Linked DNA regions of Diceros bicornis minor. The protein of the gene in region 4 interacts with the protein of the main gene of each other region in a pairwise test. Links are inferred from orthologs where the notes say so. Each region holds a gene or a part of one and is shown on either strand. Other genes may lie near its edges.

Evidence for each region.
Region 1: the proteins of NUDT18 (region 4) and DUT interact in binary tests that used the Homo sapiens proteins (3 or more experiments, as listed by UniProt). The two-hybrid records come from large-scale screens. The link is inferred for Diceros bicornis minor from reciprocal best matches to the Homo sapiens genes NUDT18 and DUT.
Region 2: the proteins of NUDT18 (region 4) and NT5C2 interact in binary tests that used the Homo sapiens proteins (3 or more experiments, as listed by UniProt). The two-hybrid records come from large-scale screens. The link is inferred for Diceros bicornis minor from reciprocal best matches to the Homo sapiens genes NUDT18 and NT5C2.
Region 3: the proteins of NUDT18 (region 4) and DHPS interact in binary tests that used the Homo sapiens proteins (3 or more experiments, as listed by UniProt). The two-hybrid records come from large-scale screens. The link is inferred for Diceros bicornis minor from reciprocal best matches to the Homo sapiens genes NUDT18 and DHPS.

What each region holds. Positions count from the first base shown.
Region 1 is NC_080744.1:44,889,649-44,897,104, reverse strand, and holds the start of DUT (deoxyuridine 5'-triphosphate nucleotidohydrolase, mitochondrial), read right to left. Parts: upstream 3,012-7,456; 5' UTR 2,911-3,011; coding exon 2,756-2,910; intron 483-2,755; coding exon 391-482; intron 1-390. UniProt on the Homo sapiens protein: Catalyzes the cleavage of 2'-deoxyuridine 5'-triphosphate (dUTP) into 2'-deoxyuridine 5'-monophosphate (dUMP) and inorganic pyrophosphate and through its action efficiently prevents uracil misincorporation into DNA and at the same time provides dUMP, the substrate for de novo thymidylate biosynthesis.
Region 2 is NC_080745.1:68,104,753-68,112,749, reverse strand, and holds the start of NT5C2 (cytosolic purine 5'-nucleotidase), read left to right. Parts: upstream 1-4,990; 5' UTR 4,991-5,053; intron 5,054-7,997. UniProt on the Homo sapiens protein: Broad specificity cytosolic 5'-nucleotidase that catalyzes the dephosphorylation of 6-hydroxypurine nucleoside 5'-monophosphates.
Region 3 is NC_080769.1:4,634,888-4,641,847, forward strand, and holds the start of DHPS (deoxyhypusine synthase), read left to right. Parts: upstream 1-3,950; 5' UTR 3,951-4,052; coding exon 4,053-4,259; intron 4,260-4,822; coding exon of another isoform or gene 4,823-4,876; coding exon 4,877-5,041; intron 5,042-5,274; coding exon 5,275-5,396; intron 5,397-5,480; coding exon 5,481-5,577; intron 5,578-5,666; coding exon 5,667-5,753; intron 5,754-6,055; coding exon 6,056-6,161; intron 6,162-6,239; coding exon 6,240-6,343; intron 6,344-6,960. Other genes in the region: GNG14 (putative guanine nucleotide-binding protein G(I)/G(S)/G(O) subunit gamma-14), read right to left, coding at 4,823-4,921. UniProt on the Homo sapiens protein: Catalyzes the NAD-dependent oxidative cleavage of spermidine and the subsequent transfer of the butylamine moiety of spermidine to the epsilon-amino group of a critical lysine residue of the eIF-5A precursor protein to form the intermediate deoxyhypusine residue.
Region 4 is NC_080750.1:71,743,408-71,750,833, forward strand, and holds the start of NUDT18 (8-oxo-dGDP phosphatase NUDT18), read left to right. Parts: upstream 1-4,418; 5' UTR 4,419-4,429; coding exon 4,430-4,591; intron 4,592-5,542; coding exon 5,543-5,756; intron 5,757-5,991; coding exon 5,992-6,587; 3' UTR 6,588-7,426. UniProt on the Homo sapiens protein: Mediates the hydrolysis of oxidized nucleoside diphosphate derivatives. Hydrolyzes 8-oxo-7,8-dihydroguanine (8-oxo-Gua)-containing deoxyribo- and ribonucleoside diphosphates to the monophosphates. Hydrolyzes 8-oxo-dGDP and 8-oxo-GDP with the same efficiencies.

The DNA.
Region 1 (7,456 bases), on a different chromosome or scaffold from region 4:
ATCTTCACAAAGAAATCTGACTTCATATGCAATCCGATCCTTGAAGTGCAAGATGGCAGTAACACTGCAAACAAAGCTCCCGTTAAAAATCGCCTATATTTTCAGTCTTTCTCACAGTGAGGAGTTGTGAGAACAACCTCCTAGGCCAATGTGAGCTCCTAAAAGCTCAAGTAAGGAATCAGAAAAAAAAGCAAAGAGACAGGCAAAAGCAGATACATAAATGAAAGTTTTCAAACGGCTGCATTCGCCATCAGATGGCAATTCTTTATTTTAGGACACAGGCCGAGAGATATCCCTTCCCTCATTTACACCCCAAATGAAACTACGATGAAGGAGCATATCACCAAGGAAGAGCCTGACAAATAGGTACCTGTGTCTTAAATCACTTACCTACTCTTCCGTAACACCCAGAGGGAAGAGCTATCTGAATGTCGGTTTTCACAAGGGCTTTCTCCATAGGTGGTACTGTATAATCATAGGCACTAGGAAGACAGTGAAAGAAAATAACTGGTAGTTAGCTACAGCAATTCTCTGTGAATTTTTTGGGTGAACAAGGTGTTAACACATAAATGTATTCTCCCCCGAACAAAATTTTCTTGGGAAATTGAGGTAATTATTTAGCAGGAGAGGGTAGAAAGGCAGACTTTTAAAAGGTGTATGTTTCACCAGCATGGTATGAAAAGAGGGAGATAAAGAACCAAGAAAGAGTGTAAATAATTGTTAATAATAGCTAACATTCATTAAGCCCTGACCATGTGCCTGCCAGGCACAGCCCTAACTGCTTTCTATAACTCATTTCATTCTCACAATCCTCTAAGCGATTAGGGAAAATGTGGAGAAGGAAAGGGGAAAATGGGTGGACAACATAAGGGGAGGGAGAGCTGTGTTGCATCTGCTCTGCTGGTCTGGTAGTTTCCCAAGCTTACCACGCTGTGCCCATGAACCTCACTGGCTGAGGAAGAGAGGCGATCACTGAATCACTGGAGATGGACACTGCTGAGGAACCAATTCTCTAAGGTCCACCCAGCCAATGCTGCTACTGTTGCTATTACTGTAGCCCCCTCCTTGACAGAAATGTAAGAGATTTTACAAAAAGCAGAACTGGAAGTTACTGTGGAGACCCTAATTAAGACTAGTAAAAGCGGTACTATATTTTTACTTATTTTGTTAGAATTTTCTCCAAGTAGTTAAACCTAATTTTTTAAAAAGATCAAATTTAAAGATTTAAAAATACCTATTTCCATGTCTATTTCAGTATACAGAAAGGCACCTGTGTTTTATTAGGAGGATGCTTAAAGCACCTTAAATCGAAGTCTCAGGATCCTAAGACTCACAAAAGTGCCCAGATATGGTGTAATCAAGTTACATCACGCTACGTTTATTCATGAAAATTAAGGGACTGAACTATATCCCTTTCAGCTACAACAGCCTGTATCTCAATTTTCTCTTTCTTGTCTCCCTTACTATCATCACACTCCTTTCTCCCCTTCTCCTGTACTTATGACTTAGACCAGTAGTTCTCACATTAGAATTACCTAGGATGCTTTAAAATACACCCTAACACTCGGGATTTAGTCATGTAATAAACGTCCTCTCCCTCCATTATCACTTTTCACCTACCTTGATGCATCTAAGAACCGGGCACAGTAGTCAAGAGAAAAAAGCATTGAATTCAGAGTCAAAAACTCTATCTCAGGGGCCGGCCTGGTGGTGCAGCGGTTAGGTGTGGGCGCTCTGCTGCGGCGGCCCGAGGATTTGCAGGTTCGGATCCTGGGCGCACACCGATGCACCGCTTGTCAAGCCATGCTGTGGCGGCGTCCCATATAAAGTAGAGGAAGATGGGCACAGATGTTAGCTCAGGGCCAATCTTCCTCAGCAAAAAGAGGAGGATTGGTGATGGATGTTAGCTCAGGGCTGATCTTCCTCACCAAAAAGAACAAAACAAAAAAAACCTCTACTACATTCAAGCCCTTGGGCAATCAATTCAGCTTTTCCCAAACTCCCTAATCTGTAAAAAGTAAGCAACACTCATATACCTCAGGATTGTGGGGAGAATTAAATAAAATGGTATATGGGAAAGTTCTTAGTACAGGAAAAGGTGCCGTACAAACGAAAGGGTGGTAGTATTACCAACACCTCTGCTTTTCATATTTGGACCCTTCCTGAAATTCCCAGTCCTTGGGGCGAACTTGAATATGGACAGTTACAGAAATGTCACTAACCCTTTAAGGCAGAATCAGCCCTCATTACTCCTTCTGAGGTATTTTCACTCAGCCCCCAGGGTCCCACCGTGGCTTTTCTTTCTATTGGGCACAGCATCACGGTCAGGCCAGTCCTTGAAGGCCAAGGCGGGCCTTACTCATCTCCGCCCTCCACGTGGAAAGGGTACAATGAATGCTGCAAAACTAATAACGCCTCAGTGGACATTTATCGGTATTTATTTACCATTCCACACTTTTTGCCCAAATCCCTAATGAATTTATGCTGGAGGCAAGCTAAAATTATCTATACAAAAAAAGGGCAGAAACCCTGCATACATGCAAAAAGCGTTTGTTTCTGTCACCTTTGAAGAGAATGTTTCAAGTTGTGGCTGCAGAGGGCCTGAAAGTAAGCTAACAGGGCTGAGAGCTCTGTAACTCGGGAATTGGGCGTTCCCGCGGGGGGCAGGGATGGCAGGGGCAGAAGGCGGCCCTCTCAGCCTCTTCACCAGGCTGGCCTCCCTGGGGGGCGCAGGCGGCCGGCGGGCCTTACTCACCTGTACAGGTCATAGCCGGCGGCCCGCGCGGACCCCTTGGTCGGGGCAGTGGCATGCTCCGAGAGTCGGGTAAACCGGAGCCGCATGCCGCTCCCCTCTGCAGGCCGGGCCCGCTTGCTGGGGGTGATGGCGCGGGCCTCTTCAGAGCAGGGCATAGCAAAGGGAACAAGAGAGCGCAGCGTGAGCACAACCGCGGGAACACACAAACCTTTAAATTTCGCGCCAGTAACTCTCGCCCCACCCCCAACCGCCTCTTGGACGAACCCACAGTTGTGGCTGAGAGGGGAGGCGGGATTCAAATTAGGGGCTGGAAACCCTTCTCAGAAAGCAGATTTTGGGTGGGAAACTACCGAGCCTTTTTAACCTTTCCAAACTCAGCGCACGGGTCCAACGCAGGGGGGCAGCTTGGGTGCCCCCCCAAACACACACCATAGAAACCCCCCAGCCCCCTGAGGGAGCCCGAATGGACCGGCTCCCGCGCCCTATGGGCTGCGCGCCCTCCCAGCTTCCCCATCGCCCAAGCGCGGGGCGGGTCCGCTCTGTCGCCCGCCCCCTCCCAGAGCTCGAGGCAGGCGCGGGGACAGCGGCCGCGGTCGCAGCCTCCCCACGCCCTGGCATTGTGTTCCTCCAGCCCGGGCCCCAATGTTACTGGCACCGCGGCAGCCTCGGCTCCGGCTGCGAGCGCTGGACGGCGGCCGGGGCGCCCCGAGCAGCGAGGCGGGGGCGACGGGCGGGCCTGGCCGGGAGAGCCAAGCTTCCTGGGCTCTCGGCCGTGCCCCGCGCGCGTCTGTAAACACTGAGCGGAGCAATAGACGGAGCGGCGTCATTCGCCTCGAGGTTTGCCAGCTGGTTGGCTCGTCCCCTGCTGCAGGCGCGTGGCGTGTCTGCGTCCCAAAGACGTGCCCGGGTGAAGTGACCTCGGAAGCAGTAACGGCCGACGCCCGGGGGCGCGCGGAGGCGGTGCGTCGGCCGCCCTCGGACCGGAGCAGGCCGGGCCTCCGGGAGGGCGCTTTGTGTCCCGAATCTCGCCGCCGCCTCCGGCTGCCTCTGCCTCCCTCCCTCCCTCCCTCCCTGGACTCCCATCTGTTTTCTGGCCCCCGTTTTCTGAGACTACCCGCGAGACCCGGGCCCTGCCCCTCTGCTGATTTACCTGGCGCAGCGCCGCCCGCCGCCATGACTCCCCAGATTCTAATCTTTGGGTTCCCCAAAGCAGCGGAACCGCATCACGTTGCCGGTGACAGGCACTGCGCTCCGTGCTCCGCCCTAGGCAGCGGGCATGGCAACCTGTTCCATTTCCTTACTACACCGACACTGCAATACGGTGTATTGTTTACTCTTAAAGTGGGGCGGGGGGGTAGCGTCTTCCGGATAACCGCGATGACAACTCGGTTGAAATCCTAGCACTATTTCGGATCACCCCACAGAAGCACAGAGGGTGACCCCGTGGCTATGATTCGGACAAAGATGCTGGGCCACGCTGGTATAACTTCAAGTGGAGAAGAGGAAATAACTTTCTAGATAATTGTAAATTGGTTTTTCCAGGATATAAGTATCTCCAGAACTGACGCAAAACTCTGGAAACTAAATTGTAATGCACTTTATCTAAATAACAACCTATAGGGCAGTTTTAGAAAAGTGACAAAAATGTTAGGGAATTGTTGGGGAAGTTTTTAGACTTCCTTGCTGTGCCTTTCCTTTCAGGCCCCACCTTTTCAGTCTCTTACTCTTACATGTTAGAATTCCTCTAGATGAGGTTATGGGTTATGCTCTATTTACACATGGCTTTAAATATTATCTATACCTTAAGGACTCCCCAAATTTGTTTCTGTAGCGATATGATCTGGGCCCTGCTACTTCTCCAACCTCATCTAGAGCCATCTAAGTTTCTAGACCCACCAGACTTTGCTGCCTAGGAGTCTATACACATCCTTCCTTGGTGTAAGCTCCATGTGTTTCAAGTCTCAGCTCATCTCAGAAAGGCCTTCCCTGTATTTAACTGAAGTAGCTGCCCTGTCTTCCCCTCACCACCATTTTCCATCACAATAATTAATTTTTTTCTGTTCACACCGCTTATTACTACAATCTGTGCTTCCTTTATGTATTTATTTTCTTGTTCATTGTCTGTTTGCTCTAGTAGACATTAGCTCCATGACGGTAGGGACCGTATAGGTCTTCATTCACCGTTGTATTCCTGGGGCCTAGCTTAGTGCCTGGCTTAGAATGGTGCCTGATAAATATTTGTTATGTGAATGAATGATAGAGTTCTTATTGCCTATTCCACTAGGCCCCTGTATATGATTGCTTTTCAAAGTCTTGATTTTTCTGTCCACTCCTTTAATTTTTAATCAAAGGTTTTTTCTATATAATGCTTTTTCAAGGCCTACAATGAAACACAGCAGTCCCTGCCCTACCACTCCATCACTGCCCTACCCGAAGTCTCACTCCTCAGGAGCAATACTTCCAACTTTCTTTGGCTCTTTCTACTGGAATTTACCTCCCTGTTTCTAAATTATATGTTGCTTTTTTTAAAAAAAGGGCATAGAAATTATCTTCTGAATTAGAGTAGTTGAGGATTAAGCCTCTTACCCCTCTCTCTACCCCATTCTGCAAATTGTTTGTAATGGTTTTTGGATAAGTCGGCAGTTAGTATTTACTTTATCATGACTGTAAATATCATTCACTGCTGAATTAAGTAATGTGATATGATTATTTCCTTTTTTCACACTTGTCTGCCTCAAGTTAATAATTGCCTTGTTTTTCCCTTTTCTTTGTTAGTGATGGTGTTTTTAATTCGTCTATTGCTTGTTTTTTTCCAAATGCTCCAATGGATCCAATACCTCAAACATCTCTCACATCAAATGAAACACATCAAAACCCCTATCAGTTCCATTTTTCCCCTCCCTCTCTCCTCTAGTCTTTTGCTCCAATCTGTGCAGTAACCCTCCAGTCCTGCTGAATTACTGTCATCCTGGGACTTCCCTTTGTCCCTCTCTTGTATTGGAGCCCTGGTTTTATGGATCTAGTATCTTCAACTTGGTTTACTCCCTCATTTTGCTGAAGTGCTTTCTCTAGTAGTTTCCTAAGGAAGTTCACCTTATAGATAAATTGAGTCCTTGCATATCTTAAAATGTAATGACAGTAATGACTCCATTTACCCAGACCCAGATAAAAATCTCACTTCATTCATGTAACTCCTTTACAACCAGTAGTGAGCTCTGCCTTGTCTTATCTTATAACACTTACTATATCGTTCATTAGCCATATACTCCCATTGTGTAATTGTCTCATGTTAATAAGAGTTATAAACTTTTATGAATACTTCAAAGCACCTACTTCAGTGTTTTACACAAAAATTATTTATTTGGATCCTTATAATGTCTAGCACCAATAAAGTATTCAGCTATTTCTTCTGTTAATGTAGATACAGAAAGTGTTTATTATTGTTATTTTTCATCTGAGGTTGTTTTAGATTGAAAAGAGAAAAGGGCATAATCCAACTGGAAAAGAGTAAGAGGTTAGAGTTCTGAACCAGTAAGCATTTAATAGGACATTCATTATGACAATTGAAATATAACTTGATATGAAAATATACCTTAAATTCAAGATACTACAGTAAAAAAGAACTAGACATAATCCAACCATAGTTTATTTCATGCTGTTTCTTGATCAGAATATAATTATCGTATCAGTCATGCTGATTAGTTCAATTACGTAAGACTATTGCCAACTTGAACCTGTTGAGAATGCAAGTTGGTACTTTACAAGCAAAGTTGTCGCTCCTACCTTTGCCGTTGTAGGGCTTTTTCTCTCTCTTTTTTTAACAAGGACATGTTGATTACTTTATGCCAGCTGTGTTCTAAGTGCTTTATAAATACTAATTTATTTAATCACAACAACCAGAGGAAACAAGTGCCAAATTATCCCCATTATACAGATGGGGAAACCAAAGCACAGAGAGCTTAAATAATTTGTCCAAGATCACACAGCTCACAACTAGAAAGAGATGGAGTCAGCATTCAACTTCAGGTAGTCTGGCTTCAGATTCCCTGTACTTAGCCACTCTGGTCTGTAGGCTTATATGTGTTTGTTGAGACTATGGTAACTCTTCTGCCTACTGAGCCTGCTGCCAGCTGTGTTCTTCAGGTCTGGGAAAGATGTTTGCCGTAAATTAACCAGGCATTCCTAGATTCCCAGTTGATCATGCCCTCCTTGTTGAAACACTTCTTCAGCAGCCCACACCCTGGTTTTCCTCCTGCCTCACTGACTGCCTCTTCTCAGTCTCCTCTTCTCAACCTCTCTTCTTGCTCAAGACAGAAACCTTGGAGTCTTGCTTCCTCTCTCTTTCTCTCAGATCTTCCCTTATCTGAAAACAGTCTTCTCCCAGGCGCCACCTAATGCCTGACCCTATTTGATTTTCTTCACAGCATGTACTGCTACATGAAATTACTTATTTATTGGTTTTGCTTGTTAGTTGTATGTTTCCTCCACTAGCATGTAAGCTCCATGATAGACTTAACTTTATCTTAATTTGGATTCTTTCCAGATGTTCTGCATTTCTTTTTACCCATTCTTGCCTTCTTTTAAATTTTATAGTTTTATTATTAATTTTATTTTAATTAATTCTATTATTTCACTTTTCCCTCTACTAATTTAGAATTTTTACTCTCTGATTCTATTGTTTTAGATAAATTAAAATGTACT
Region 2 (7,997 bases), on a different chromosome or scaffold from region 4:
GAGATCTGGCCCTGCCTCCTTCTGGGACCATTTTTTGCCACTTTCTCTCTTTCTTTGTCGCTTCTGATCATTCTGCAGACACACAAAACTCATCTCTACTTTAGGCCCTTCGTACCTACTGGTCCCTCTTTCAGGAATTCTCCACTCTACCAAGCAAGTCCGTCTCTCACTTTTTTGCTTAAGTCCTACTCATCCTTCAGGTCTCAGCTGAGATGTTGTTTTCTCAGGGAAATGTTTCTTGACCCTCTCCCTACCCCTAAACCCATCCCCTATTTCGTTCTCCCTCATAGCATCTTTTACTTTTCCTGCATAGCACTTACCAAAATTGTGGTAAAATAATTTTTTTGTGTATTTAAAGCCCATCTTCCCAAGTAGTCAGAAACCTCCAGGAAAGCAGAAACTCATCTCTCTGTTGATCAGGGTTAGGCACATGGTGGGAGCTCAGTGCATAATTTTGAAGAGATGTAGGTACTCCTGAGTCTTGCGTGGATGTCCTGCCTCTCAAGTTTGACTAGATGTTTCTAGCTAGACGAGATGTTTTCTGGTTAACTGTCTCCTCGCATAGTGCCTGTACTGGGCTCCTATCACAGTTAAGTGCTGACCCTATGCTGTTAGAGAAAGAGAGATGAAAAAGAGAGGAGACCTCTGAGGGGGCTGATTGGAACTCAGATTGCACACTTCCTCGGAGAAAGATTTCTGGGCAGCAGGAGGCTATTTCTAGGCCCCAGGCCAGGGTGTTGAGAAATGCTTTCATTTTTCTGAGAGCTGCTGCCAGGAAGCAGAAAACTGATGAGTGACCTGTGAATGCTGCTCACATTCTGGGTGACTCAGAGTTTATGGTATTCTGGGGAAAACAGTGTTGATCAGAGGGATAGAACATCCATGTAGGGGCTTGGGCAAGAAGTCTGGTGAGAGGCCATCGAAAACCACAGTGGGATGGCCTCTCTTGCCATGCAATGCTGGGGCCGTTCAGCCTGAGTCAAGTTAGAGACCCCAAGCAAGCCCCTCATGGCTCCTCATTGTTTCCTCAGGCTCCCCAACCCTCTCTTAGAAGGTTGTTTCATAGCTGGCATGGCTTGTCTTACCCCTGAAAGTCATGAGGCCAAGTGTCCTATCCTTTTCTTTCTTTTGCATTTAAAAAAAATAATATTTTGTTATAAAAGCAATACATGAATACATTTATCTTCTAAAACATTAAAACTAAAGCTAATACTTCCTTTAAACATCACCCCCAATCTCAGTCCTTTATCCCTATCTTTAGAGATAATCTTTGATATGAGTTGGCATATAGCCTTACAATCTGTTTAAAAAATCTTTTACAAACTTAATGTGTGATTGTCTTAGTTCAGGCTGCCGTAACAGAATTCCATAGACTGGGTGGCCTATAAACAACAGAAATTTATTTCTCACAGTTCTAGAGGCTGGGAAGTCCAAGAGCAAGACACCAGCAGGTGAGGTGTCAGGTGAGGGCCTGCTTCCTGGTTCAGAGACAGCCGTCTTCTTACTATGTCCTCACAGGGCGGAAAGGGCTAGGATGCTCTCTGGGGTCTCTTTTATAAGGGCGCTAATTCCATTTATGAGGGCTCTGCCCTCATGACATAATCACCTCCCAAAAGCCCAACCTCCAAGTACCATCACACTGGGGATTAAGTTTCAACATATGAATTTAGAGGGAACATAAACATTATCTATAGCAGTGATAATAGGAAATAGTGGTATTTATGTCTGTGTTTTAACTTTTTACTTTGAAATAATTTTAGATTTACAGAAGAGTTGCAAAGATAGTATAGAGAGTTTCAGTATATCCTGCTCTCAGTCTCTCCTAATGTTAACAGCTTCTATAAGCCTAGTTCAATAATCAAAACTAAAAAATTAACATTGGTACAATACTATTAACTAAACTAGACTTCATTAGAACTTTACCAGTTTTTCCACTAATGTCTTTTTTCTGTTCCAGGATCACATCCAGGATCCCACATTGCATTTAGTTGTCTTGTCTCCTTAGTCTCCTCTGATCTGTGACGGTTCTCAGTCTTTCCTTGACTTTCAAGACCTTGACACTTTTGAAGAATCCAAGTTAGGTATTTTGTAGAATATCTCTCAATTTGGGTTTGTCTGATGATTTTTCGTGATTAGACTGAAGTTATGCATTTTGGGGAAGAATTTTTTTAAAATATCAAGACTATCTATATAGATCTATATAGATCTATATAGATATATAGATATATATATCATGCTGAAACTTGCTGTTTTCATTCAACAATATGATTTTGAGATAGATCTACATGAACATATAGATCAAGGTCACTTCTTTTAAAATCTCCACAGAATTCTATTATATGAGTATTCTACATTTTATTTAGCCATTCCTCTATTGGTGAGTATTCAGGCTGATTCCAAATTTTCTGTTAGCAATATTGTAGTAATTAACCTTGTACATACCTCCATATGCACATGGAGTTATGGTAGATAACTATAAGTGGCATTGCTGAGACATGGATTTAATAGATGTTGTCCAATTGCCCTCTAAACCTGCTGTGCCACTTTACATTCTTTTGATATTATTAAGCTTGAAAATTGTTGCCAATCTCAGTTTTAATTTTCATTTCCCTGGTTAATACTGAGGTTGGTCATCTTTTTGTGTGTTTATTGGCAATTTGTATTTCCTTTTCTATGAACTGCCTGTTTATATTTTTGCCTATTTTTCTAGTGGAGTTTTTTTTCCTCATTGATTTGTTGAGTCCTTTATATGTTCCAGATACAAATCCTTTGTTTTATATATTACAAATGTTTTTTCCTAGTCTGTTATCTCTTTTTTTTTTTTTAAAGATTTTATTTATTTATTTTTTCCCCCAGAGCCCCAGCAGATAGTTGTATGTCATAGCTGCACATCCTTCTAGTTGCTGTATGTGGGACGCGGCCTCAGCATGGCCGGAGAAGCGGTGCGTCGGTGCACGCCCGGGATCCGAACCCGGGCCGCCAGCAGCGGAGCGCGTGCACTTAACCGCTAAGCCACCGGGGCGGCCCTGTTATCTCTTAACTTTGTTTCCGATTGTTTTCTTTGTTCTATCTCTCAGATTTTTTGAATTATTTTTTTCTGACTTATTTTTTTGAAACAAAGTTCATGATTATAAAAGTAATATAAACAATGTAGAAACTCTGGGAAATTTATGGAAAAGTATAAAGAAGAAAAGAAACCACCCCAAGTCTGATCACTGAGAGAAAACCACTATTAACATACTCAGTACATATTCCCTTCTAGTCTTTTGTGTGTGCATGCACATTTTTGTGCTCAGTTGAGATCACACTGCATACATATATATATTATTTGCTCAGTGCCATGGTCTTTAGAAACAAACCTTGGCCTTTTCCCAAATGCACTTGGTTTAAAGGTGATGTTAGACTAACTTCCAACTCCTATTCCTTTTTTCCACATATCCTGAAAAATGTAGTACGTGAGAGGCCCATGGCCTGTCCTCTACTGACCTGAACTGAAGTTGGCTCAAAAACACAAGAGAGAGTACAAATGCTCCAGCAGAGCACTTATTAAAAAGTCTTAGAGGGGCTGGCCTGGTGGCGTAGCGGTTAAGTTCACGCACTCCCCTTCAGCAGCCCAGGGTTCGCCGGTTGGGATCCTGGGCGTGGACCTACTCACTGCTCATCAAGCCACGCTGAGATGGCGTCCCACATAAAAGAGCTACAACTCTACAACTATGATATACAACTATGTACTGGGGCATTGAGGAGAAAAAAGGAAAAAAAGAGGAAGATTGGCAACAGATGTTAGCACAGGGCCAATCTTCCTCAAAAAATAAAAGTCTTGGAGGTTTTAGTTGACTGCAAGCTCAATGAATCAATAGTGCCAAGGTGCCAAGAACCTTAGTGCATGAATGCAAGGCAATAAGTCCTATAAGGAGGAAGCTACAGTCCTGCTTTGCTCTGATGGTACCACAAACATTTGGTTCAGTCTTGGGTGACATACTCTAAAGGAGCCACAATCAAACCAACTAGGTACTTGAGGAGAATGAGGACAAAGACCCTCAAAACCAGGGCAAAGGAGGAACAATGGAAGGAATGGGAGATACTGGTCTCAAATAAGAGAAGACCTTAGGCAGAAGTCAAGTATCTGAAAAGTAGAAGTTGGAAGAGACATTAGACCTGGTTGTTCTCTGAGGCTCCAAGGGATAGGACTTGGGCCAGAGAGGGGAAGCTTCAGAAACACTTGCTAACTCGTCAGAAGCTGCTGAGACCAAGGAATGCATTGCTTCGTAAATAGTGGGCTTTCTGTCACTGAGGAGTCTTCTTTTAGACAGGAGTTGGTGGCGGGTGGGTGCCGGGTCCATACAGTAACTAACATTTATTGAGTACTATGTGCCAGGACTGTGCTGAGGACCTTCCCTCTATTTTATTTCATCCTGTCAACACTCTATGGGGTAGGAATTGGGTAGAATGAGGTCAGGTAACCTGCCTAAGGTCACACAATTTGTGAGTGGCAGAACTGGGATTCGAATCCGTTCTGACAAACTCCAAAGCCAGTACTTTCAGTCATCAATGGGATTCATGCGTCGTATGGGGGTCTGGACCAGAAGGGCCTTGAGGTCCGTTCGACTAGAAGATTCTGTGACTCGGAAAAATGATGTCCCCACCCCGCTAAGGGAAAGCGTCGGAGTGTAGGCGGAGAAGCAAGCGCGGTGAGGTAGTAACGGGCCTCGCGGAGGGGCCCGGGCAGGAGGCCAAGGGATGGAGACTTAAAGGACACGGAAGGGTTGTCAACGTGCGTCACCCCACAGCTCGACAACAACCGATGTTCTGTTGTTTGAAGATCCTCGCGCGAGGGACCGAGACGCAGGCCTGTATCGCGGCTCCCTTCTGGTAGCGCAGCCAGGGAGTGTCGCGGCGGCAGGGTTCTGCGGCGGAGCCGGGGGACGGAACGGCGCGCCGATCCCTGGCCGGGCGCGAGCGGGGGGCGGCGCCGGGGTGGCGGGGGCGGGGAAGGCGCGCGCCGGCGGCTGCGGCAGTTGCGCGCTGGGATTGCTGCCGTGCGGCGGGGTCGGTGAGTGCGGCGGGCCCTGCGGGTGGGGTGGAAGGAGCGGGCGAGCGAACGAGGGAGGGAGGGTGCGCGGCCGAGCGCGCGACCTGGGCAGGGGCCGCGGCCTGTCCCCGCTGCGGCCCCACCCGGCTGCTGCGCCCCTCAGGCCCCTCTCCTCCCTCCGGGCGCGTACCTGCGCGCCCGCGGACTCCGCGCCCGCGTCTCTGCACGCCCCGGGTCGCCCCCGCCTCAGAGCAGCCCCTTCCTGCGCGCCGCGGCGACGCCCCCAGCCCCACGTCACGCCCCCGCCATTGTTTCCCGCTGTGGGCTCGCTGGGACCCGCCTCATCCTAGGAACGCGGCCCTTCGCCTCCGCAGAGCCAGCCTCGCCGCGTTCCGCCCATTCCCCCGCCTTTCTCTTACGCTGGGGCAGCCCCCCTCCCGCCTCAGGCGGACACCCCTTTACTGAGGTCTGCGTGTTTTTTTCCGGCCGACTGCGGGCTTCCTGCGCTCCGCACCCGGGGCCCGCCTTTCTGCCCCTCCCATGGGCCTCCCCACCCCCTGCGTGTTCCCGGTACAGCGTGAGGAACTAGCGGGCGGCTGTGGTAGGATGCAACGGTGACAGCGGTTTAGCAGGAGCCACAGGAAATTGCCAACTTGATAGCCCACATGCCAGTTTTGTGTTTTCAGCGCTTTCTGGAAAACTCACGTGGAATTGCAAGCCTCACCCAAAAACCTGCTTGTTATTTCCAAATGGCTCTCGAGCTGACAGGGGTCAGCTGTCTGGTGGCAGTCTATTCCTTCCCTTTCCTTCTCCTGGGGACCCCTGAAGCCGGTGAGAGCCGAGAGTGATGCAGATCTGAGGCCTGAACCATTAGTTGTAAACAGAACGTTTGAGGGGTTTGACTCCGGTAGAGGTCAGCTCGGTGTCAGATTTAGTTTTCCCGTGCGTGTGTTGCGGGATGTAGGTAGAGTACAGCGCTCTGCAATGACTAGTCACCATTCTAGGGTAGTGTGTATGCGCGCGCATATGCGGGTCCGGATGCGGACAGGTTCTTCTGGATTGAACTGTACTTGTTTTATAACGTCTACACACTGTTCATTATGCTTCTTAAAGCAGCGGATGCAAACTCTGCTAACTGTAATGTGAAAGGGAGAATACTGAAACCATGGAAACGTAATGTTATTGAGGTCTTTTTAAATATTTGCCGCGACACTTCAACAATAGTTAGAATTTATCCAGATGAAGACATCCAGGCCTGAAGAGGTTAAGTTTAAGAAGACACAGCTAGTTAGTGGTTAGAACTCCACATGTTGGGTTGATGTTAACACACACAGACTTTATTTCTGAAATGCACTTCCATTGCAGTATAAGCCACTACTTTTCAGCAGTATAGGTTGGCGCATTTACTCTCGGTAATCTAAAATTTAGATTTTTGGAATTTAGTAATCAACTAATCTGTTAAATGAAAGGGCTGAAGGAGATGTTCTGCAACGTTTCATTCAGTTCTAAGATTTGATTCCGTTGTATGAAAATTTGCAATCAGCTACGAGTTTCCAAAAGTTTATAGTTGGAAGATTTATAGATATTTACGTATGGTATCTGCGAGCCGTGGTGGTGACATCAGGTGTATCTTCCTAAAGAAAGCCAAATTACAGTGGAATATTGAGGAGGGATGTCCATTCATCTGTTTCTAGTCTGTTTCTACTCTTTTATGGGGGAAGAAAGGAGCACACAAGACATGGTTTATGAAAAATAACTTCTTTTTATTCCTCAACTCGCTTACCAAAAAGCTTAAGTTAATGAAATTGTAAAAAAAAAAAAAAACAAAAAAAAACCCGACCTAATCATATTGTATTTATGACTGTGCTCTTTTCCAGTTCTTATCTAACCATAATTTTTATGTAGTTATAATTGCTGTTTAAAATTAACAACATATTGTTTTTAGTTTTGCACTTACCCACATTTCTGGAATGTTCATGTATCTAGAGAATTCATCTACTTTTCATTTGTAGAGACTGTGTAACATGCTTTTATGTCCAGTAGTCAACAATGCCTGGCACACAGGTCCTCAGTAAATTTTAGTTGAATGAATGTAGTATTTTGAACTACTTAGACAACATCTACAAACACAAAATGTTAAATATCACAGAGCATATGTTAAGTGACATGTGAGCAGTAAAGGCAGTCAGTCTTTGAGCCAGGAGACAGCATCACATATGTTTAAGGGCCTAGGTTTTGGAGTCTGGGTTTGGTTTGAGACCTGGCTTGCCACTTAACCATCCATGCAACCTTGGAGAACTTAACCGTAACTTAGAGAGTCTCATTCAGTTTCTCTCACCATGAAAAAGGGGAAAATAGAACACATTTCACGAGGTTGTGTGGATTAAATGGGATAATTCCGTTGAAGCACTACTGGCATATCTTAAGTTCTCTATAAATGTTAGCTATTACTGCTTTTGGTTCAGAGTGGAGAGATTACTGTATGTTGTGGGATCAGGGAAAACATAGAGAAGGTGACACTTCAGAGTAGGGAGAAGATGTGAAAGTGCGTATGTTGCGAGTTTAATGAATAGATTGCTCTCACTAAAACAAAGGGTTTGGTAGAGCCAATCGTGTGAGATAAAGCTAGGGAGAGTAATTCTGGTAAACTGTGTACAAGATATGCTACAGATAGAGCAGAATTAATGAAGTAAGATAGCTTTTTGTTTTTGAGTAGTTGGTGTTTGTTTTGTTTGTTTTTTAGGTTCAGACCTGAAAAATTATTGGCTTTAAAGAAGTTGATAGCAAATTGTTATGGAGTGCTAAGGTGTTTGTCATTTGACACAGTAAATCTTATGACTTTTTACCATTTGCAGTTCGATTGTGTTCTATGATTGGTTACCAAAGTTTGCAGTGGCTGTTTCTCCTTTTTTCTTTTCTTTTTATGGAAAACAACTTTAGCAGCAAACGAATAAAAATAGCAAAA
Region 3 (6,960 bases), on a different chromosome or scaffold from region 4:
TCCTCCTCCAGCGCCCCACTCTGACTCCCTCCCCGCACCGGCCCAGCCTCTCCAACTCCCTCCTCCCCTCCGCAGAGACTTTGAAGCCAGGACCTCATGGAGTGAAATGTCACCAGTGGTGGTGGCAGCAGCTGCCTCAGCCAAGGGGGTCTCTGCCGCAGGAGGCCCAGTGGCTGCCCTGGTGTCACGTGTCACCTTCCCCCGGGGAGTGCGGGACCCTGGCCTCCCACTCACCTGCTTGGTCCCCTGCTAACCTGCCCCAACACTCCTCCTTTGCCAGCCTCTGTCCCACCAGTGTGTGGAGTGGGCCCCGCCCCGGGCACAGCCCTGCCTCTCCTCTTCTCTCCCCTCACCTCCCTGGGGATCTCATCCGCAGACGGCGCAGTCTACTCGCCTATGCTGACGGCATCCTCTGCCCCTTCGCTCTCAAAGGAGAGTGGTGTCCAAATCACAATGGGCAGGGCCCGGTCCCTGACCTCAGAGCCACCCGAGGCCCCTCCTCCCTCCTCCATCCACCACACTCATCTCTCGGGCGACTCGCACCGAATTAGGCTAAAGCTGGGCTCCAGATGACCTCCCCCCAGACCCTCTGCCCCCAAATACACCACCACCACCCAACTGCCCTGGCCTAAATCTCCAACTCCTTCATTTCTCTCTCCAGTATCCCCACAGCTAGTCCTTTCTCAAGAGCCATCAATGGAAACTAGACTTTGGGTGGTGAACACTGTGCAGTCTATACAGAAGCTGAAATATAATGTACACCTGAAATTTACACAGTGTTCTAAACCAGTGTGACCTCAGTGAAAAAAAACCCATTAGATCAACCTTCAGATTAGGTTCTCAATCTAGTCACTTCTCTCGAGCCCTGTTGGTACCACCTTGGGCCCACCGCCCCACCCTCTCCGCTCCCCTGGACCAGAGCAATAGCCTCCGCCCTCGTCTCCCCTGTCCCGCCCACCCTTCCCCGTTCTCCTCAAGGCAGCCAGTGGCATCTGATAGAAAATAAATCACATCATAACATGGATGAAACTGGAAGACATTATGCTCAGTGAAATAAGCCAGAAACAAAATGACAGATAATATATGATTCCACTCATATGAAGTCGCTAGAGGGGTCACATGTGTAGCAACGAGAAGTAGAACGGTGGGTGCTGGGGAGAGGGGAACAGGTCATGTTTGAGGGGGACAGAGTTTCTGTCTGGGATGATGAAAAGTTCTGTGGATGGAGGCAGTTGCACAACAATGTGAATGTTCGAAATACCACTGAACCGTGCGCTTAAAAATGGTTATGGTGGTGAATTTTGTTATGTATATTTTACTGCAATAAAAAAAATTGGAAAAAAAAATCAGAGTCTCTCAGGCCCTTTTTAAACCTCTCCAGTGGTCTCCCAGCCACTTATTTATTTATTTATTTTTGTGAGGAAGACTAGCCCTGAGCTAACATCCAATGCCAATCCTCTTTTTTTTTTTGCTGAGGAAGATTGGCGCTGGGCTAACATCTGTGTCCATCTTCCTCTACCTTATATGGGACACTGCCACAGCATGGCTTGACAAGCAGTGCGTTGGTGCGCGCCCGGGATCCGAACCTGTGAACCCTGGGCCACCCCAGCGGAATGCATGCACTTAACCCCTGTGCCACCGGGCCGGCCCCTCCCAGCCACTTAGAATAAAGCCCACCCTCCTTACTACAGCCCCCAGGGTCCTGCATGGTCTGGCACCTTCTGCCTGGTCTGAATTCATTTCTTTGTTTTTTTCCTTGTGAGGAAGATCAGCCCTGAGCTAACATCTGTTGCCAATCCTCCTCTTTTTACTGAGGAAGACTGACCCTGAGCTAACATCCGTGCCCAACTTCCTCCACTTTATACGGGACGCTGCCACAGCATGGCCTGACAAGCGGTGCATCGGTGCGCGCCCGGGATCCGAACCTCGGGCCCCTGCAGTGGAGCGCGCGCACTTAACTGCTACGCCACCTGGCCGGCCCCTGAATTCATTTCTAACCAGCCTCTCCCTCCTTCATTCTTCCTGGATCACCCCGAGGCCCCTGTGTGCATTCATTCATTCGTTCAGTTATTCAGCGTATTTGCAAGATTCCAATATGTGCCCGGCACTGCAGAGTAAAAGAAATAGCAGTGAAGCCAGACCTAATCCTGCCCTCATGGGGCTGCCAGTCAGGGAGGGACGGACAACACCAAACACAACGTATGAAGTGCTATGAAAGACAACCAAAGCAAGGTAAGGGCGAGTGTGGGTGGTCAGGGCAGGCCTCCTGGAGGAGGTGACATTTGGACGGAGGCCCAGAGGAGGAGGAGGGGAAGCGGGTGTTCCAGGCAGAGAGAGCAGCAGGTGCCTCGTCCCTTGGTCAGGAAATAGCTTGTGGGTTCTAGAACAGCGAGGGGTCGGTGTAGCTGGAGAGGAGTGAGCGAGGGCAAGTGGTGGGAGATGAGGGCAGGGAAGGGAGTGCCCTCACAGGCCACAGTGAAGAGCCTGGAGTTTACTCCTAGCGGGAAGCCACCCTTAGAAGGTTTCAACAAGGAACGACACATCTGACTGCTGTTTCGCAAGCTCTCTGGACACAGCTGGGGAAGGGACTGGAGGGAAGGAAGCCCAGCGTGGAGGCCGTGGGGATGAAGAAAAGCACCTGGATGCAAATACAGAATCATCATGCTGTGCACCTGAAACTAAAATAATGTTCTGTCAATTATATCTTAATTTAAAAAAAAGAAGAAGAAAAGCACCTAGAACTTCTAGGTAAAACTTGGTGGACGTGTTGGGGGATGGATGTCATGTGCAGAAAGGGAGACATCAAACTCAACTCCCCAGTTTTCACCCTCGTAGATGAGTGGAGTGTAGGGCTATCTGCTGAGATGTGAAGACTCCAGGGAGATCAGGGTTAGGTGGAGAGAGAACTGAGATGGCGAGTTTGAGATCCAAGTGGATGTTCTGCTCCTTCAACTAAGTAGGCTCATTTCCAGCCTCAGGGCCTTTGCACTGGCTGTTCTCTCTCCCAATGGGGGGTGGCAGGGGAATGGCCTCCCCCAGATCTTCACATAGGGGCCTTTCTTGGCGCTCTGGCCTTGGCTTAAATGTCACCTCCTTGATATCCTTCCCCAACCACCTGTCCCTCCAACTAAGGCCACCAATCCCTCCATTCACCTCCACCCTCAAGACTCTACATCATCCTGTTTAAATTCGGAAAAGCAGTTACCACTGTTGTTAAATTTCTATTTCCCCAAACTGTAGGCCCCAGCGGGGCAGCGTCAGCACCTCATTCACTGCTAAACGGCAGCACCCAGCTCAGGGTCCAACGTATAGTACAGACTCCATAAATGTAGAGTGAGTGATTAATTGGGTCCCCTATGGACCAGATCCCGTGCACTGTTAGGAGGACCCATGAGATACACACCTCACCCCCAAGGATCTCAGTCTTGCTGGAGGGAAAGAGATGTCAGCCCTGGATCCCAGAAGAGATCCCTTACCCAGAGGAATGTCAGGGAAGGCTTCCCAAAGGAGGTGACAGCTGCAGCTGCCGGAAGAAGGAAGACCAGAGGGTTATGCCCCATGTCGAGGCCCTGGAGACGCGAGGCACGAACAGGGATCACTATTCCATTGACAAGAGGTGCTCAGAGGCAGAAACTCTCTGACACTGCCTGACGACTCAAATCCTGACCAAGGGCGATATCTAAGAACCCATCCTCTCTCCTGGAGGGGACAGAAAAGAACGGGCAAGCGCCGCGCAACGCGGTAGATCTCCAACAGGCGGCAGTAAAAGCAGGAATCTTCATTCATCTGAGGCTGAGAACACGCGAAAGAGGGAATCATGGCTCCTCGCGGCCTCCGTATTACGGAACATGAGCGCAAAGATGGCCGCCCCCTCAGGCTAAGGGCATCAGAGGGTCATGTGACTAGGCAACTTCCGATCCCTCTCCGCAGGTTTTCCAGAGCCCTACTTCCTGCGCTCTCGTGGAGAAGGGCGTGCCAGGGCTTAGTGCGTCTCGAGGCCGCCGGAGGCCCGGCCTGGGGCGGCTCTGATCGGGGAGTGCGATCGCAGGGGCATGGAGGGTCCCCAGGAGGGGAAGGCGCCTGCGGCGGCGCTGGCCGCCGTGCTGAAGCACAGCTCGGCTCTGCCGTCCGAGAGCGCCCAGGTCCGGGGCTACGACTTCAACCGCGGCGTGGACTACCGAGCGCTGCTGGAGGCCTTCGGCACCACTGGTTTCCAGGCCACCAACTTCGGGCGCGCGGTGCAGCAAGTCAACGCCATGGTGAGCCCTGGGGCGGGACTTTTTGGGTTGACGGGGGCGTGGCCTCCAGTAGCGCCAATGCTGTACTTGCAGGGGGCGGAGCTTCCACGGGAGAAGGAGGCGTGCCCTTCGCTGGGCTGTCCAGTAGTTGGAGAGGGGCGGGGCCTACCCTGGCGGGAGTTTCTGTGCTGGGGAGGGGGCGTTGCCCCCTAGTAGGTATATCCTAGTATCCGGAGGGTATGGAGACTGATTCTAGGTACCGGGCAGGTTTTAGGCAACGTGGGAAAGTGCTGTGGAGTGGGCGGAGCCTGGGACAAGACCGTGTGGTTGAGGGAGGAATTGGGGGAGGAGCCGAAATCAGGGCGGGGCCTGAGTTGGATTTGCTCTTCCCAGCGGGAAAGGGGGTCGGGTCTCCAAAGGTGATGCTCTCGGATTCCTGAAACGGGGCAAAGCCTGAGCGTGAGCCCTGAGATTCGGGCTGTGAAGGGGCGGAGCCTGCACAGGGGCGTTCATTCCCTGGTTCCTCGTAGACGTGGTCCTGTATCCCCTAGTGGGCAGGGCTTGGCGGCGGAGCTGAAACCCACCTGGAGTTTTTGGGCTGGACTTTGGAGTTCACTCGACCTTCTTCTGACACCTAGATAGAGAAGAAACTGGAGCCGCTGTCGCAGGATGAGGACCAGCATGCAGACCTGACCCAGAGCCGCCGCCCACTCACTGGCTGCACCATTTTCCTGGGCTACACTTCCAACCTCATCAGTTCAGGCATCCGTGAGACCATCCGTTACCTCGTGCAGCACAACATGGTGGGCACCCGGTGGGGCTGTGACCTTGGCCTCTTTGGGTCTTAATGGGCAGTAAGATTATTGGTCATTTAAGGGAGATAGGGAGATATGCGTCAGCAGAGGGACAGGATGGGGTTTTGCTTTGTGGCAGAGCACCTCCCAAGGGTCACTGGAGGGTTGGGAGTTAGGAGTCCTGCCCTGCATGAGGGCAGGGCTCCCCTTCCTGGGCCAACCTCACTGCCTTGTGGCTGCAGGTGGACGTCTTAGTGACTACAGCTGGGGGCGTGGAGGAGGATCTCATCAAGTGCCTGGCACCCACGTACCTGGGCGAGTTCAGCCTCAGGGGGAAGGAGCTACGTGAGAACGGGATCAACAGGTGGGGGGCGCCCTGAGTGGTGCTGGGTGTGGGAGCTGGGCTGAGGGTCCTGGGGCCTGACGCCCACATGCCTCCTGTCTCCAGGATCGGAAACCTGCTGGTGCCCAATGACAATTACTGCAAGTTTGAGGACTGGCTGATGCCCATTCTGGACCAGATGGTGTTGGAGCAGAACACAGAGGTGGGGCTGGAGCAACCGGGGGGGGGGGGGCGCTGGCATGGTGGGAGTCAGGGGAGGTGCTGCTGGCTGAAGCTGATGTCCCCTTCTAGGGTGTGAAGTGGACGCCTTCCAAGATGATCGCCCGGCTTGGCAAGGAGATCAACAACCCAGAGTCGGTGTATTACTGGGCCCAAAAGGTGAGGGGCTGGGTGAGGGCAAAGATGCCAGGCCTCGGCATGTGTGGTTTTATCTTGACAGCCATATGGGGAGTCAGTACTATTCTCATCATCCCCACTCTTAGATGAGGAACGTCAGACAGAGAGAGGTTAGGCAGTTTGTCTGAAGTCCCACAGCTCTCGAGTGTGGTCCTGGTATCCTGGCTCTACTCCCAGGCCACCTGGGAGCAGCCAGGGTGGTGCTTAGCAACCCCCATGTGGTGGGGACCAGGCTGCCTCCACCAGGCTCTGAGCTCCGGCCGCTGTCTTGTCCTGCCCTCCAGAACCACATCCCCGTGTTGAGCCCGGCGCTTACAGATGGCTCGCTAGGCGACATGATCTTCTTCCATTCCTACAAGAACCCAGGCCTGGTCCTGGACATTGTTGAGGGTGAGGCGCTGGGGCTGCAGAGGAGTGGGGGAGGAGGGTTGCTGGGCCCGCGGCCTGACCGCAGCCTTCTTCCCCCAGACCTGAAGCTCATCAACACACAGGCCATCTTCGCCAAGCGTTCCGGGATGATCATCCTGGGTGGGGGCGTGGTCAAGCACCACATCGCCAACGCCAACCTCATGGTGAGCGGGATGAGCGTGCGCCTGGTCCCCAGCGGGGGCGGTACGTGGCCCTGCCCTGCAGACATGCCCTTGCGTTCAGCCTGTGCCATGTCTCCACGGAGACAGCCGTGACTAGACAGGCCTGGATCCCTGCCCTCTTGGGACTGATGTTCTCGTCAGGGAGACAGACAGCAAACAAGTGACATGCACATCAGGTGGCAGTAACTGCTATGGAAAAAATGAAGGATGACGAGGTGGCAAGAGAAAGGGGTGCTGTTCAAAAACGAGCAGCTCTCCTGCGAAATGTGACCTGTGAGCAGAGGATTTCAGGAGGTGCCTCCCACGGGCCATGTGGTTATCTCGGGGATGAGCTCCCAGCAGAGGGAACAGCCAGCGTAGAGGCTCTGAGGTGCCCAAAGAAGGTCAAGCAACAGCTAGGGGTCCAGTGAAGAGGAGAATGGGAGGAGGTGAGATGGGGAGGTGACCCGCCTTGAGGGCTACTCAGGTGCTCACTGGCGCCCTCTGGCGGCTGTGGGGAAACAAATGGCGGGGCCATGTTGGGGAGAGGTGGTTAGGTTTGGAGGTCTTCTGATGACAGCCTTGGTGGTAGCTCCTGCTGAGTAGATGCAGGACAGGTG
Region 4 (7,426 bases):
CCCCATCTCTCCTGTCGGACCTCACCTGGAGCACCCGGAGGGTGGCCCAAGAGAGCCCTTGCCCAGCCGTCTGCCCTCAGTGTCCCAGGCCCACCACCCCGCCCTGGACTGAACATGCTGCCCGACTGCTGCCAGCCCTTCCCCACCCCAGGGCCCTCTGGTGTGGCTCTGCCCGCTCCCCTGCCCTTGTCCATCTCAGCCCAGCACGCTCCGACCCTTGTTATACCCAATTGTTTCTGCGGTGGTTCAGGGGATGTTTTTTTATGAAATAAAATTTTTTATTATAAATGTAATATACTTTCAGAACATTCAGGAAATAAGAAAAAAATCACCTGTAAGCCCACTTCCACTCACCCCCAACCCAACCACTATTAGTATTTGGTGTACTTCCTTCTAGCATTTTCTCCAAGGAGCTGACTTACGCACAGTTGAGCCGGTGTGTTTGTACTTGGTTCTTCCTTTAACACTGTGTTGTGATCATTTGCTGTGTTGCTACCTGACTTTCATTTTAAACAGCTGCTTATATTCCATAAGTGGCTTTCCTGTGATTTATGTAATCATCCCCCATTAAAAAAAAAAAATTAGGTTTCTTCATTGTTTGCAAAGCTGGGTTATTTTCATTTTTTGATGGGATAGAAAAAAAAGAAAAAAGAAAAAATTAAGGACCTGCTACACTTCACCGTGCCGCTGTTTCCATCTAACTGATCTCCTTTCTCCCCTTATCATTATGTTGAGGTAGATACCATTTATTTCCATTTTACAGAAGAAGAAACAGTCAGGCAGGGATTAAGTGAGTCACCCAAGGTCACACAGCAATTTTAGTGGCAAAATTGGGATTTGGACCAAGTTTCCTGCGTCGAGCCACCTCATTTACAGTATCGTCTTCCTGCTTAATGGACTCTGCAGACGGGCCTGCTGGCCTCTCTGTCCTCCTCCTTCCAAAGGAGGCACTACACAGCTGGTCAGGTTCCAAGTGGCCCTGAGTGACCCATCCCTACCCACACTTCACCTTACAGAGCTATGTCCTGGTGTCACCCCAGAACTCCAAACATGGGGTCCTTCCTGTGGGAAGATGGGGATGGCCCAGTCACTGCACCTCTCTCTTCCCCACAAGACCTCTCTGCTGCCTCCCCTTGCATGGTGGGTCACAGCACCCTCGAGGGCACACTGCAAACATCAGGTGGACCAAATGTTCCAGGACTGGACCTGGTAATGAAGCCAGTCCCGGTGGGGACTGACCCTCAGGCTCAGCTTGGGGCACTTGGTGGCATTCTTCCTCATGGAGGCACGACTGGCTCCCCGCCGTCCAGCCTGCCCCTCGGGCCTCTGCTTCTCCCAGCACCCCCGCTGTCCACCTTCAGCTCCAGCCCCTCTCACCGGCCTGGATATCACAGAGGCGCATCCCTCAGAGCTAGACGTGACCTCAGGGTGGGTATGTCCAACGCTGCCTTCTTCTTATAAAGTACATTTTTTAGACCTTTTATTTAGAAATGATTTTAGATTTACAGTCAAATCACAAAGAAGTACAGAAGGTTCCCAATTACCCTTCATCCAGGTTCCTCTCCTGTTAACATCTTACATACCACAGCACAGAGATCAAAACTGAGACATTGATATCGATGCAACACTGTTAACTAGGCGAGGGACTTTACTGGGATTTCGCCAGTTTTCCACTCATGTCCTTGTCCTGTTTCAGGATCCACCAGTGCCTGCATTTTACAGATGGCCTAGAGGGTAGATGGGGTTCCCCCAAGGTCACTCACACAGCCAGCTTGTGGCGGCAGAGCGCAGGCTGAAGCTAGACTCCTTTCCCTTGCACATTGGGCTACTGCGCTCGTCACTCTTCCTGCTTCGTCAGGGGCCAGGGCTTGCTGCTCCGTAAGCGACTCCAGCTCACAGACACTTGTGCCTCATGCTGTCCGCCAGCCCCTGACCCTGTTCCCAAGGTTGCCTACACTGCCCTCCTGCACATGTGCTCACTCGCACACGCGTGTCCCCAGGCCCTGGCACGGCTGGCTCAGGCTTCGCTCCCGTGGGTGCTGGGAGTGGTACTGCGTGGTCCACCAGTTCAGCCACTCCTGTCCACCGCCTGCGCGGCCACCCCCAAAGCCAGTGCACGTCCCTCTCTGGGAATGGAGGACGCAGAGCAAACTTGACGGAGGCCTTCCTTTGTTTCTGGTTCTGGAGGTTTCTATCGCAGCTTCTCCCCACTCCAGCTTTTCCTGTTCTGTCTCAGGCACTCTTGTCTCAGTGTGGTATGTGTGATCCTCCACTGCCTTGAGAAGGTCTACTTTCTGTCGTCTCCCTCAGCGCTCCGGCAAAGGCTAGGCACACCCCTCGAGGCCCCTCTGCCTGTGCAGCCCTGCACAGTTTACAAGTGGCTTTCATGTCGCCTCATGTGCAGGATCACCACTTAAGAGAAGAGGAGCGCTTTTCCAGTGACGGGGGGAGTGGAGCCGCCGTTTATTGCCTCTTTGCTCTTCCGGGCAGGCAAGCTGTCTGCTGTTCATCTTAGGCTGCCTCTGAGGCTCTCAGAGCCCTGTCCAGACATGACCTCACTCCCTCTCAAATCATCCCCAGGAGGCAGAAAGGAGTCTGGGACCAATGCTGTCCCCACTTCACAGATGGGAAAACCGAGGGACACACACACACAGCAAATGCACTGACAAGTTGCTCTGCAGTCCTGCGGTCCTGACCTTCAGCCCTGTGAGTTCAGTTGTTTTGGGAGGTGAGAGGTGTTGGATAGGGTTGGAGTCAGCAATGTTCACCAAGTGCCTCAAAAGAGTGTCGGCCCACGGGGGATACCCCCAGCCTAATACCAGCCCTGCCTCCAGGGACTTGCAGTCAGTTCAGTACGTGAAAAGGGCCTGAAGGGGCTGACCCGGTGTGGCTGGAATTACTGAGAGTACAGTCTAGTTCCACGGCGGCCCTGCAGGCAGATTTCAAGAAAGTGGGTCTTTGTGTGGTAGCAACAAGTGCCGTGGCTAGAAAGGCCCAGCCTGGAGGGTTGCTGGGCTGCCTGGTGATGGACCCATGCTGGACAGTCCACAGAGCTCCTCCTGTGATGTCTCATCTTCCCAACAACCGTGGGAAGGAACAGCTGTTATGAACCTACTCTACAGATGAGGAAGCTGAGACCCACAACTTGCCCAGGGCACAGAGACAGCCAGGGAGCAGTTGCCAGGCAGCTGGCCCCAAGTCCAATGCTTTGCTCCACAAGCTGCTGTCCCCCAGAAGGGAGGTGCACAAAGCCAGAGAGAAATGAGGGACCTAACAGGATGAGAAAGCCAGACTTTGCTGGCTTAACAGTTTCACTCCAGCTGGCCCTGCCTTCCTGTCCTGAGCAGAGGTTAAAGGAAACTGCGGAGGAAAGGTCAGGCTGGGAGAGAAGCAGGAGCTCGCCAAAACAACCCACACCCTGCTCTCAATGCGCCAGGCCTGCAAACTAGGTGTAGGGGCAGCAAAGAGAAAGGAGCAGGACCGCCCTGCCCTACAAACGCTCTCAGCCCGCAGGGGAGAGGGCCCGAAAACTGCGTGGGAAATGCAGCGGGCAGGGGGCCGGAACACCGACGACGCAGGGCTGGGCCTGTGGATTCCAGGCCCTCTCTCTGCCCCAAATCCCCTCCTCCCATCGCCAGCCACACCCTGACCATCCCAGGCCCGCTCCTTCCCTCCTCTGAGCGCCTATCACACCCCTGCCCAAACCCATCGTTTAGCACTTGGCTTATTAACCCTCAGATGACTTTTTATTGTATGTCAAGGTCCACCTCCCCGACTAGATCAGAATCTCCTCTAAGGCAGAAGCTTGTCCTCCCTGTCACTGTGACATTGAGTACATTTTTGTGAAGGAAGAAGGTTATCTGAGAAGTGATCATTTCGGGCAATGCAGTGGTATGTTTAGGACAGAAGTTGGACAGCGGACCCAAGCCGCCGCCCCAGGCCTCCGCGACGTCATCGGGCTTGTGACGTCACTGTCGTTGGCCTCGGCGGCGCTCCGCAGCCTGCAGGCGGGATGACGTCACCGTCGGAACCGGTGCAGACGAGTGCGCGCTGGAAGAATCAGCGAGGCTGGCGGCTGGAGATGGCCGGGGAGGGAGCGGGTAGGGAGCGACCGACAGAAAGCAGAAGCCGAGCCGAGTCCACTCTCCCCGGGCCGCGCGCCTGCCCCACAGTACGGCCTGGCTCCGCCCCGCCCCGCCCGACGCGGGCCAGCCAATCCGGGCGGGCGGCGGACACGCGCAGCCTGTCAGCGGCGGGCTCGCGGGCGCTTCCGCGTTCGCCTACGCCGGCCTGCTCTCGGGGAGGGGGCGCGGGCGGCCGGCCGAGCGCTCGTCCACGTCCCGCCCCGCCCCGCCCCGCCCCGCCCCGCCCCGCCCCGCCCCGCCCGGCCGGCGGTCTGCAGGCCCGGGCGGCCGCTCCCAGGGGACCGATGGCTTCGGAGGGCCTGGCAGGGGCGCTGGCGGCGGTGCTGGCGGGCCGGGGCCTGCGCGTGCAGGGCTGTGACTCGGGGCCGGCCGGGGAGCCCCTGGCGCCGGCGCGGCTGCGGAAGAACGTCTGCTACGTGGTGCTGGCGGTGTTCCTCAATGAGCAGGTGAGCGTCCGCCGCCGGCCGCCGCCCGGGCCCCGCAGCGCGCAGCTCGCCGGCGGGCCAGAGGACCCCCCCCCCCCCCCCCCCCGGCCACGCCACCGCCTTCTCGTGGGTGGCGCTTCCCAGTTTTGCAAAGCACTCTCACTTACGCACACATCTTGTGAGGCCCAGCCCTGCGATTGTTCCCTTATACAGAGGAGGAAACTGAGGCCCGGAAGCCTTTTTGTCCCATCCCACTAGGCCTCAGTTCCTTGAGGGGAGGGCTGTCTTATTTTTATTCCTCTTCCTTTCCCCAGAATCTAGCGCAGTGCCCCCTGCGGAGTGGGCTCTCAAAGATCTGTCCAGTGCTTCAGAGACTCCCCTGGGTCCCATGGACAGTAATGGCACAACCCGCGCTTACGCTCAGACTTTCTGACCACCTTGTGATGCTCTTTTTGGTGCTGATCCCTGTACAAGTTGCTGGAACAACAAACAGCTAGACGGGGCCAGGGCCATAAGTAGGAGTTGTATGGGTAGGGGCTGGGGGCGCGTTCCAAAGGCTAGACCCCAGTGTGGGGACCAGCCGCAAGCAGTTTGTAAACCACGGGGGAGGTGAGAGATACACAGTGACACATGCAGACACAAATCTGTGCAGGACACATGGCAGCCTCACTGTGGGGCCTGATTCCCAGCCCCTGAAGCAGCTCCCAGGAGTCCCAGCCCCTTTCTGAGATGGAAGTCTGAATGCAAAGAGGGATGAATTGCAGAGAGAGACAGCTGCAGCTCCCAGCCACACAAGGGCCAGTCCCCTGGAGAACTCAACAATTTGAGGGTGTCCACTGGGAGGGGGTTATTGGGCGACTGTATCTGAGATACAATCCGGCCCCAGGGCAAGGGAAGGCTGCTGGCTGTGCTGCTCCTCTGGAATCCCCAGCCTGGCTGTGGTGGGGTTGAGGATCCTCTCTCTCCCCTCAGGATGAGGTGCTACTGATCCAGGAGGCCAAGAAAGAGTGCCGTGGGTCGTGGTACCTACCCGCAGGGAGAATGGAGCCCGGGGAGACCATCGTGGAGGCGCTGCAGCGGGAGGTGAAGGAGGAGGCCGGGCTGCACTGCGAGCCCCTGACATTGCTGTCTGTGGAGGAGCGGGGCACTGCCTGGATCCGCTTTGTGTTCCTCGCTCGCCCCACAGGTACGGCCCAACAGGGGGCAATTGACACCTTTCCCCCAGCATGTCTACCGGTGAGATGAGCCCCTATTCTGGCTGATAGAAGCCTGGCATCTCCAGATTCCAGCCTGAGGACTTGACTGGGCTCCCCGCTCCCCTGGGTCAGAGCTAGAATGCCTGGGTGGCATTTGCTCTGCCAGGCCCAGCACTTCTCTCAACATAGACCCTTCCCCCACCCCATGCCCCACATCTCCCCCAGGTGGAATTCTCAAAACTTCTGAGGAGGCAGATGCAGAATCCCTGCAGGCTGGCTGGTACCCACGAACCTCCCTGCCCACTCCGCTGCGGGCCCATGACATTCTGCACCTGGTAGAGCTAGCTGCCCAGTATCGCCAGCAAGCCAGGCATCCTCTTGTTCTGCCCCAAGAGCTTCCCTGCAGTCTGGTCTGCCAGCGGCTCGTGGCTACCTTTACCAGTGTCCAGACAGTGTGGGTGCTGGTGGGCACAGTGGGGATGCCTCACCTGCCCATCACTGCCTGTGGCTTCACCCCCATGGAGCAGAGAGGTGGCATCAAGATGGCTGTCCTGCGGCTGCTGCAGGAGTGTCTGACCCTGCACCACTTGGCAGTGGAGACCAAGGGGCTGCTTGGACTGCAGCACCTGGGAAAAGACCATACAGATGGCGTCTGCCTGGATGTGCTGGTGACAGTGGCTTTTCGCAATCCAGGCATCCAAAACGAGCCCCCGAAGGTGCGGGGTGAGAGCTTCTTTTGGTGGAAGGTGATGGAGGAAGACCTACAAAGCCAGCTCTTACAGAGGCTTCAGGAATCATCTGTCGTGCCAGTCAACAGATAGGAAGGTGCCGTCACTGGGCAAGGAGCTGGGCATCTGTGCTCCTCTCCGCCACGGCTTTGCCTCCCTCTGAGGAAGGCAGGAGGTTGGCAGTCAGGGATCTTGTTGCATTGGGAGCAGGGTAGTTCTCCTGGCTCTCAGGGGCACTTCCATCTCTCCTCACTGTGGAGCAGGTCCCTACATTGTACGAAAAGAGACAGTGCCTTTCACCAAGCAAGGAGTCCAGAGCTCAAGGACCCAATTGCCCTGAGGGCACTACTCCCTAAGGGGATGTGAGAACTTTCTGAACCTGAGATGGCATCTACTCATCATCTTCTGTGCCCACCCGCCTTGGTAAAGCTCCACATCTGGGGTCTCAGGCACTTAAGACATGGAGAGGATGCTGGGGGAGGTCTTTCCAAGGGAGTGGGCCCCTTGCTGAGTAAATAGGTGTTCCTTACTTTGCCTTCCCGCCTAAATGTCTCTGTGGGGAAGAAGTGAGCAGGCAGGGGTACTGAAAAGCTCCTCCCCTTGTCCCACCAACAGCTATTCAGGCCTTCCCAGGTGGCAAGCTGCCATGCAGGTGATGGGGCAGGCAGGCTTCCTGCCCCAGCCCCCTGCGGCTCCCTTCGTCTTGCCTGCCAAGGAGGGATGTGAGCACGTCCTCAGAGAAAACAGAACTCTAGTCCCTCCAAGGTTTGAGCAGTGAGGCCAGGAGAAGCTTCCAGTGGGCAAGGAGCGGTGAGAGCTGCCCCTGCCTCTCTGCTGGAGTCTCTCTCCTTGAGCTTCTCCCATGATCCCTTCCCAGTCACTCTGCCAGCCCCCAGGCTCCTGCTTCTGCCTTTCTACAACTCCAGCTCAAG